2 linked regions of the Schizosaccharomyces pombe genome follow. The protein of the gene in region 2 binds, or shares a complex with, the protein of the main gene of each other region. Each region holds a gene or a part of one and is shown on either strand. Other genes may lie near its edges.

Evidence for each region.
Region 1: mis16 (region 2) and hat1 share a complex: the UniProt entries of both Schizosaccharomyces pombe proteins name them as parts of the HAT-B complex.

The regions. Positions count from the first base shown.
Region 1 is NC_003424.3:1,027,910-1,032,452, reverse strand, and holds hat1 (histone acetyltransferase Hat1), read right to left. Parts: upstream 2,234-4,543; 5' UTR 2,224-2,233; coding exon 2,166-2,223; exon of another isoform or gene 2,116-2,165; coding exon 2,012-2,115; exon of another isoform or gene 1,951-2,011; coding exon 1,732-1,950; intron 1,643-1,731; coding exon 1,527-1,642; intron 1,456-1,526; coding exon 1,092-1,455; intron 1,036-1,091; coding exon 760-1,035; 3' UTR 512-759; downstream 1-511. Other genes in the region: coronin Crn1, read right to left, coding at 1-94, 143-195, 238-271; ssd2 (succinate-semialdehyde dehydrogenase), read right to left, coding at 2,656-4,137. UniProt on the Schizosaccharomyces pombe protein: Catalytic component of the histone acetylase B (HAT-B) complex. Acetylates 'Lys-12' of histone H4 which is required for telomeric silencing. Has intrinsic substrate specificity that modifies lysine in recognition sequence GXGKXG.
Region 2 is NC_003421.2:582,173-586,633, forward strand, and holds mis16 (histone H4 chaperone, CENP-A recruiting complex CENP-A chaperone Mis16), read left to right. Parts: upstream 1-1,953; 5' UTR 1,954-1,962; coding exon 1,963-2,047; intron 2,048-2,119; coding exon 2,120-2,225; intron 2,226-2,297; exon of another isoform or gene 2,298-2,313; coding exon 2,314-3,415; 3' UTR 3,416-3,721; downstream 3,722-4,461. Other genes in the region: SPOM_SPCC1672.09 (triglyceride lipase-cholesterol esterase), read left to right, coding at 1-23; SPOM_SPCC1672.11C (P-type ATPase P5 type), read right to left, coding at 3,734-4,461. UniProt on the Schizosaccharomyces pombe protein: Regulatory subunit of the histone acetylase B (HAT-B) complex. The complex acetylates 'Lys-12' of histone H4 which is required for telomeric silencing.

The sequences.
Region 1 (4,543 bases), on a different chromosome or scaffold from region 2:
CTGCCAATGCACCTCCAGCTCCCGCATTCCAATTAACACTGAGGTAAAAGGGGTTCACACTCAATAGGTTAGAATCCCATGCATTATTGCTAAGCTATTGAAGACAATTAGTAAATTTCAAACCATTAAAGTATCGACCAACCTTTATGTTGTCGTAGCAAAGTTCTTTTTTGCAGGTTTGTCCAAAGATATGTCCTAACGTCAGTTAATAATTATTTACTCAAAAAGCATGCGTACTATATTTACTAGCTCTCACAAATCTTCCACTCATTTTTGAAAAAGAATAATTCCTTTATAAGATCGAATGAGAATTTGCTAATTGAGCTAACTTTATCCGGGGTGTCAGGTAATGAACAAAGTCGGGATCGGAATAGGAAGGAGGACGGATGAGAATGACAAGCACCTAAAGTTGTACTGGTCGTTGAAAATAACCAATATTATTGATAGTAGATATTAAAATATTTAAATTTTGGAAAAAGCAGTTCATTATGAGGAATTGTTTGAATTTTTATAAGGTGCCTTTATAGATTTTATTAAACTAGATATCACACTAAATTTGCAAAATATATACAAAATTTATATTATTAAAATGATCACTGTTTCAAATGTCTTTAATCATTTCAAGCGAAAGCTTTCAAAAGCAAATTATATAAAAAGTAATTGCGTCCAATAGTGTAATTTAGTCGATTCTCATAACTTTTTATGCTAATATGCCTTCAATATTCTCAAAGTATTTCAGATCTCTAAAAGTGTTTTCATTTAGGAAGAAGATTGAGCAAGTTTTTGGCGTTTTCGAGGCGAATCTTCCTTAAGCTTGGGTAGCTTTTTGACAATCTGTTTATACTCATCAAACTGATTTTCATAGGCGTTATGAATTTTTTCAATACGTTCGGACTTATCCAACTGTAGCAACACATCAAGATTTTGACGAAAAATCCTTTCCTTTATTCCTAGTCTAACAGATTTCCGCTCCAATAATGAAAGCTTTTTTAGTTTCGTTGTAAATGCTAATTCACAACAGCGTGAGAATTGACGCTAAAAAAAGACAATTAGTAAGTTGCATTGCATGGTAAATTTAGCAAATTACGAACCTGGGTTAACTTTGTTTCAGCTATTTTCGAGTTTATCCACTGCCTAGAAAGAGAGGGATGAAAGTCAGGTTCTGAAAATATTCCCATTGATAATAATCTTTTATAGTCGCAATGGTCTCTAAGGCTATCAAACGCTTCCGATGCATCCTCAACTGTGAAGTCTAAAATTTTAGGATTTTTCAAAAAGGTACTAACAATAGCATTGTACAATTGCGAACCGTGTCCTTGATGTTGAAAAGGGGGTAAAATCACGAATTGTGAGATACGAGCTCGAATACCATCGTGAATTAATTTGTCCCATTTATAATATTTGTATACAGTACAATAACCACGTAAGCAATAATCATCTTCAGTAGTCTCGTAACTTATTTTTGTTAATAAAACCTCGATAAAAAGGTAAAAGGAAAGTAGACGCGTAGAAAATAACAAACTTACAGTAAATATACCATCCATCTTGGATCATTAAGGTCAATAAAAGAGCCCCCTTCAATAAAAAATAAGGAAAATATTTGCAAATGCTGCATAATCTCACTAGCTTCAAGAACCGTTGCCTATTAATACATTACGATTATTAGCCAAAGAACATATAGGGATATTCAATAATTGAATACTTCTCCAATTGAAAGGTAATCGAACATACTTGTAAAATCTTGAATGTTTTTCCATTAAAGGAATAGTTATGAATACTATTTGCCGAATGAACGTCAAATGAGTTTCCTTCAACCTTAATGGAACGATCTTTTAGATAAGTGTTTAATGTTCCTTCAATATCAGTTGGTTCCACTCCTGAATCTGGTGCTAGGCGCTCTGAATATGAGATTTCCAGTTTTGGGACCATCAATGGGCATTCATAGGTTATCTAATAACTGTTACTATTTGCAATCAAATTTCATGACTAAAACTTGCTGATTTAATCTTACAGTGACATTTAGATCTTTATATCCATAAATAACCTCAGCATCTCCAAATATTGCATATGTATTGCTAGGATGGTATTGACAATCTTTTTCATGCTTTTCGTTTACTGACAGGTGTTAACACAAGGTAAAAACATTATAATTTAACATAGCATACCTTGTACAATTTCTATGCATTCATTGGCATTATGTACCCATTCATCAACAGCACTCATCACTGCATACGGAAAATTGAATACCTGACCCTATTTCAAGTCAAACAACAAAAAATACATGTGTCTAGTTGGAAGTAACAAACTACAAGGCGACGCAAAATTTCACGTGCTACACCTGTTATTATTAAAAAATATTTACTATTATATAGATTTCTAGCTCCAGTATTGCCAATTTTAGAACCTACAATTCTTTATAACTTTTCAGATTGCTCAGAACAATAACTACAAGTATAGATTTTCTGACACAACAATCCATTCTTCATCGATGACCCACGATGTTCAGGTATTAAATTTTTTTGATATCATTAAACTAAAATACGATTTGTATCGCAAACATGTAAAACAGTCATAACATCAGGATTTTTTAGTCATTAACCAAAAGAGGACATCATTGCTTGTTCAATAATATGCAGCTTTCTAAAGCGAAAATCCTTAAAGAGTCTTGAGATTGATTTCCTTAACCACCATAAATTCTTGAACGCCCAAACGACCGGCTTCCTTGCCAAAACCGCTCTGTTTGATGCCGCCAAAGGAAATAAATGGTTCGTCAACCATTTCGATATTGGCACCTACAAGACCCACCTCTAGTTCTTTGGCAACGTGGATCATTGTGGACAAGTTATTGGTAAAGACGTAACCGGCCAAGCCAACATCACTGTCGTTAGCCCATTCGATCACCTCTTCGGTGTCGTCGAACTTGAAGACAGAGGCGAGTGGGCCGAATGTTTCCTCGCTAGCAACCAACATGTCTTGAGTTACACCGGAGAGCACGGTTGGTTCAAAAAAATAACCTTTGCTTGAGGAAATCTCCTTTCCACCAACAGTGATTTTGGCACCCTTTGAAACAGCATCTTCAATGTGCTTGCTGACCTTTTTGCATCCATCTTGAGAAATCAAAGGGCCAACAGCAGAAGAAGAGTCAAATCCATCTCCTACTTTAATGGTCTTGACTTTTTCGGTAAGCTTGCTGACGAATTCGTCGTAAACATTCTTGTGAACGTAAACTCTGTTAGGGCAGACACAAACTTGACCACAAGAGTTAAACTTGATAGTGCAGAAAGATTCGACAGCCTGATCAATGGGGAAGTCAGGGAATACAATGAAAGGGGCATTACCTCCTAACTCCATTGAAACCTTCTTGATTGTGCTGGCACTTTGTCCCATAAGAATTTTACCGACATTAGTACTACCAGTGAAGGAAACCTTACGAACGATAGGGTTGGTAGTCAGTTCTTTACCATGAGCAGATGCATCAGAAGAAGTGATCACATTTAAGACACCGTCAGGGAAACCGGCCTCTTGCGCCAACCTGACTAAACCTAAGCAAACGTAGGGAGTGCGGAAAGCAGGCAAGAAAATAGCGGTACAACCAGCAGCCAAAGCGGCACCACCTTTACGAGCAATCATGGCGGCGGGGAAGTTCCAAGGAGTAATCAAGGCACTGACACCAACTGGCTGTTTGATGGAGATGAGAAAGTTTTGACTTTGTAAGCTGGAAGGAGCTACATCGCCAAAGGTACGAACGGCTTCAGCAGCATACCATTTAAGATATCCGCTACATGTGGTGACCTCCATCTCAGCTTGGCTCAAAGGCTTGCCGTTTTCTAAGGTAAGCATCTTGACCAAGTCGTCTTTGTTCTCCATAATAAGCTCTGCCCAGCGTTCCAATAACTGACTACGTTGGACATGAGTAAAATTTTTATAAGTTTTGAAGGCCTCGTTAGCGGCACTGATGGCTTTTTTTGTTTCCTCTACTGAGACATCGGCCACTTTACCGATTATTTCACCAGTAGCTGGGTTATCAACCTCAAAAGTTTTGTTGTTAGGAGAAGAAATCCATTTTCCTTGAACAAAAGATTGAGCATGAGACTTATCAAAGCCAAAGAGCTCAGGGCGTTTGAATTGAGGGGCCATTTTTGAAGAGTATTATACAAAAAAGTGGGAAGGAGTAAATGTTAAAAACTATATGAAACGAAGTTATCGATAGAAATGTTATTATTATTTATAATAATAACAAATAATAGCGTAAGCAGCAACAGATCTTTCGTGGAAAAAAGAAGAATGCAGGTTTTTTTAGTGTTTTCAAATTAAGCTGCAGATTTCTTTTTTTTAATGTAGTGTAAACATCGAGAGAAACGATGCATATTTATAATTTTTCAACAAGACATTTAATGATCAAACCATAACGTATGCATCTTGGTTTTCCGTACTAGATTTACGTCTCAACATCATGTTCTTGGTGTATGCAAACATTTCCCCTGGAAAAAAAGAAAGGCGTATTGAATTTGCGTAAATATCGGCAGACTAACTTATAAATCAT
Region 2 (4,461 bases):
CTCCTAGGAATAAACCAATTTAATTTGATTGAATTGAAAGACTTTGCCTCAACACATCTTTTGTATATTTATTATTAGTTAATGTTTTCTACGTTACTATTTTATTATTGCTAGATATCGAATCCCTGATGTTATCCGTTTGTTCAAAAAAAAGAGAGAAAAAGTTTCCTAAAGGCTAAATTTTGCCTTTTTTTACTGATGACCTGTTTGTTCTCAGTTTTGTGATTATTTACGCTTATGCACACCGAAAATTTCATCTTTGAATACTTTGAAGTGTTTGTATTTTTTACTGTCATTAACAAAACCGCATTTGAAGTAGCAGGTTAATAATAATGACTGTTAAGACTGCGGTTCATAAAATTTAATTATTTTGCTTATTGTTTTTTTCAATTTCTTCTGTGCCCCGATTAATTAAGGTGTATCCGACAACCAAGGTTTGGATGCTCGATTATGTAGGCAACACAAAAATTTACATGATATGGATAGATCTTTCATAGAAATACCTCTAAATTTTGATGAATTTACTTTAGCAAGAAAAAAAAAGAATGCAATGTTAAAAACTGTTACAATAATTATAAATATACAATGGGTACCAGAAGTCGCTATGAAAACATCTGAAGTAATAAGATTACGATCAACAACTCAAAACGTGCAAATATACTCCAATTATACTAAATTCCTCTCTTATAATTGATATACTGATATTAATTGCCTCCTCAAAATACTTAGCAAACGCAAGCATTATTCCAAAAAAAAGTCGAGACGAATAACGAGCTAGACCACTGTTGGCATGCATTTTAAGGCAATGCGGTATACAAATTCCTCAGTATATCAAAATAAATAACATTAGAAAGAAAGTACTCATCTGGGAATTTTTTTTTTTTAATTCACAACTATATTTAATAAATATTTTAAATTAAAATCAGTAAATTGCTATGATGAGGTTAAAAGAAATAAGAGACACGATTTGAATTGTACTGTTATCGAATAATTTATCAAGTTAGCATGTTAAAGTTTCCACGACAAGTACCCAAAAGTCTGACTACGTGCTATTAAAGCTAGCTAATCATATAAATTAAAATCAGCCAAAACTCATAGTCATTTCACAAGTTTCTCTTTTCAGCCATTGTTTACATATGAAATTTTACTTAGTCTCCAGAACATCGTTTCTAATACCCTAACCTAAGGTAAAAACCGTCACAACAAATTTACTATATATAGGGTCTGTTCAGTTGATGATTCACCATCATCAGTAGGTTTTAACTTACTTTGTTATATAAGTAAAGTAAAATCAATCCTGAAGTCAAGTATGATGGTTGGAGTCTCCGGACCAAGAAAATGCATCCGTTCCGTCTTCAGCGAAGAATTGAGTGGCTTTCCCGGTCGTTGACTTTTTTCCATGGGTCAAGGATGGGATTGTCTCCCAGACATTTTTAATTAAAAAAAGTTTATATTTGATTAGTTTAGATACGTACCCAAAGTTTGCAATACTACATGATTTGTTTAATAAATTTACGGTGTACTGTAAAACAATTCGTAGAGCCAACAGTATAAATATCCCATTGATGGCTGGGTTCAATAGTTTTATTTTTAGTGTAAATATAATGACAATCTGTTTATCAAAGTATACTGAGATTATAATATTTGTTTTTGCCAAATGGTTTTATAATTATTAGAGCATGATAAAGACGATGTTTGAGGAATTCTTCTCACTATGAATGTCTGTTTTCATGGAGACGTGGCATCAAGTAATGGTTTTTAGAGGCATGTTCAAATTTGTTTTCGCTCATTGAAACTTGTTTTCTATATCGCTGTTCATGAATTTTATTTTATTTTTTTTTTATTTCAGACTTAAGAGTGCGCTAGATTTATTTGGGCATCTTTAAATAATGTAAATTACTTATAACTCCAAAACTTTTAACTTGGCAATCTAGTTTGGGCCATTGTGTAGTTGCCCAAAACATGTCAGAGGAAGTAGTCCAGGATGCACCTCTCGAGAATAATGAACTCAATGCCGAGATAGACTTACAAAAAACAATACAAGAAGGTATGATTAAAGGGAATTCTTCATTAATATATATTATTATGCCGTAATTACTGACGATTATACTCGTTTCAGAATACAAACTTTGGAAACAAAATGTTCCCTTTCTGTATGACTTGGTAATAACCCACGCTTTGGAATGGCCTTCTTTGACAATTCAATGGCTTCCTGACAAAAAAACGTACGTTGCTTGCCAAAGTAGTTAGGCTATGATTATACTGGCCTTTACTTCAAACCATCTCATCAGTTTTCTAACTCGATTCTTGAAGAATACCAGGTACTGATTACTCTATTCAACGTCTTATTCTTGGCACTCACACATCTGGTAATGATCAAAATTATTTACAGATTGCTTCTGTGCAATTACCAAACTTTGATGAGGATACCACCGAGTTTACTCCTTCTACGATTCGAAGAGCACAGGCCACGGGCTCGTATACGATTGAAATTTCACAAAAAATCCCTCACGATGGCGATGTCAATCGTGCTCGTTACATGCCTCAAAAGCCTGAAATCATCGCTACCATGGGAGAAGGAGGAAATGCTTATATTTTTGATACAACTTGTCATGATGCCTTAACTACAGGTGAAGCACTTCCTCAAGCAGTTTTGAAGGGCCATACTGCTGAAGGTTTTGGTCTTTGCTGGAACCCGAATTTACCTGGAAATCTAGCAACAGGAGCAGAGGATCAAGTTATCTGTTTATGGGATGTTCAGACACAATCTTTTACTTCCTCTGAGACAAAAGTCATTTCCCCCATAGCCAAATATCATCGTCATACTGATATTGTTAACGATGTTCAATTTCATCCTCAACATGAGGCATTATTAGCATCGGTGTCGGATGATTGCACTTTGCAAATTCACGATACTCGGTTAAATCCAGAAGAAGAAGCTCCCAAAGTTATTCAGGCTCATTCTAAAGCCATAAATGCCGTTGCCATTAATCCCTTTAATGACTATCTTTTAGCAACAGCCAGTGCTGATAAAACAGTAGCTCTTTGGGACCTCCGTAATCCATATCAACGGTTGCATACCCTGGAAGGACACGAAGATGAGGTATATGGGTTAGAATGGTCACCTCATGATGAACCTATATTGGCATCCAGTTCAACTGATCGCCGTGTTTGTATTTGGGATTTAGAAAAGATTGGAGAGGAACAGACTCCGGAGGATGCCGAGGATGGTTCTCCAGAATTACTATTTATGCATGGAGGCCACACAAATCGCATCTCAGAATTTAGTTGGTGTCCAAACGAGCGTTGGGTGGTTGGAAGTCTTGCCGATGATAATATCCTTCAAATATGGAGCCCTTCTCGTGTCATTTGGGGTCGTGATCATGTTCAGGTTTCTCCTAGGGATCTGGAGTAAAGTTGGCCATAGAAAAAAACCCAAACTCACTTTTCCATCCTTCTACGCTTCATCTGTTTTTTGCAATATTCTTTACAATACAGAGTCATATGGTAATTGACTGCTCTCTTTTTTTCAGCTTTTGTATAATTTAAAACAAATGATCTTCGTCGCCTTGTAAATACATCAAAACTACTGTTATAAATCAGACTACATTTCTATAACACCAGAGATTAAATGTTTTGTTTGACCATGATAAAGTAAAAAGGATAGTAACTATTAATATTATACATAACAGCAAAAAAAATCTATTGAACAACAAAAGGGGGATAATATATCTCAAACTTGTTCATTTTGCAAGTCTGCGAATAGGCGTTTGTATAGTTTCTTCGAAACTTTCGTTCGGCGATTAAGTAAACGATTATTCAGGTGAGATATAAAATTGGTCATAGAAATGAAAATGTAATTTTGACCGCTGGCTGCGAGTAAATAATAAATAACACCAGCGAAGATCAAAAAGTTCTGGAAACTTTTGGACGTAGGCGTAAGTTGGAAAAGTTTCATAAAAAAGTTTTTATGATTTTGAAGTCGTATTAACTTAACGGTCAGGATCAACAAAACAACAACGACAGCTGTAAATGAATAGTTCCTCCAAACTTTTTCTCTGTAAGGAGGTCCTATGCTCAAAACCACTCCAATAAAAATATATTGGAAGCAAGAAATTAAAAACAGAGCAGTTACATCGCTATTTGTAATATTCGTATCTGAGCTATTCGCAGGTGGTGGTATATACCAGGGCTCTCTCCGTACTATCCTTAAGGTTATATATTGAATTATACAAATAAGGACGATTTGACCGATTAGAGGAGATAAAATACGTTTGGAAACCAAATTAGCGGTAGGTCTTTTGTGGGCCAAACGATGATAAGGTCGAGATCTCCCCATGAAAACCGCAATGGGAAGAATAATGACAAGATCAATAAACAAAAACTGGAAGTCTCCAAGATTTGAATTTGTTGTGTACAATATACTGACAGTGATAAATTGAATTGCAGAATACAAAGCCA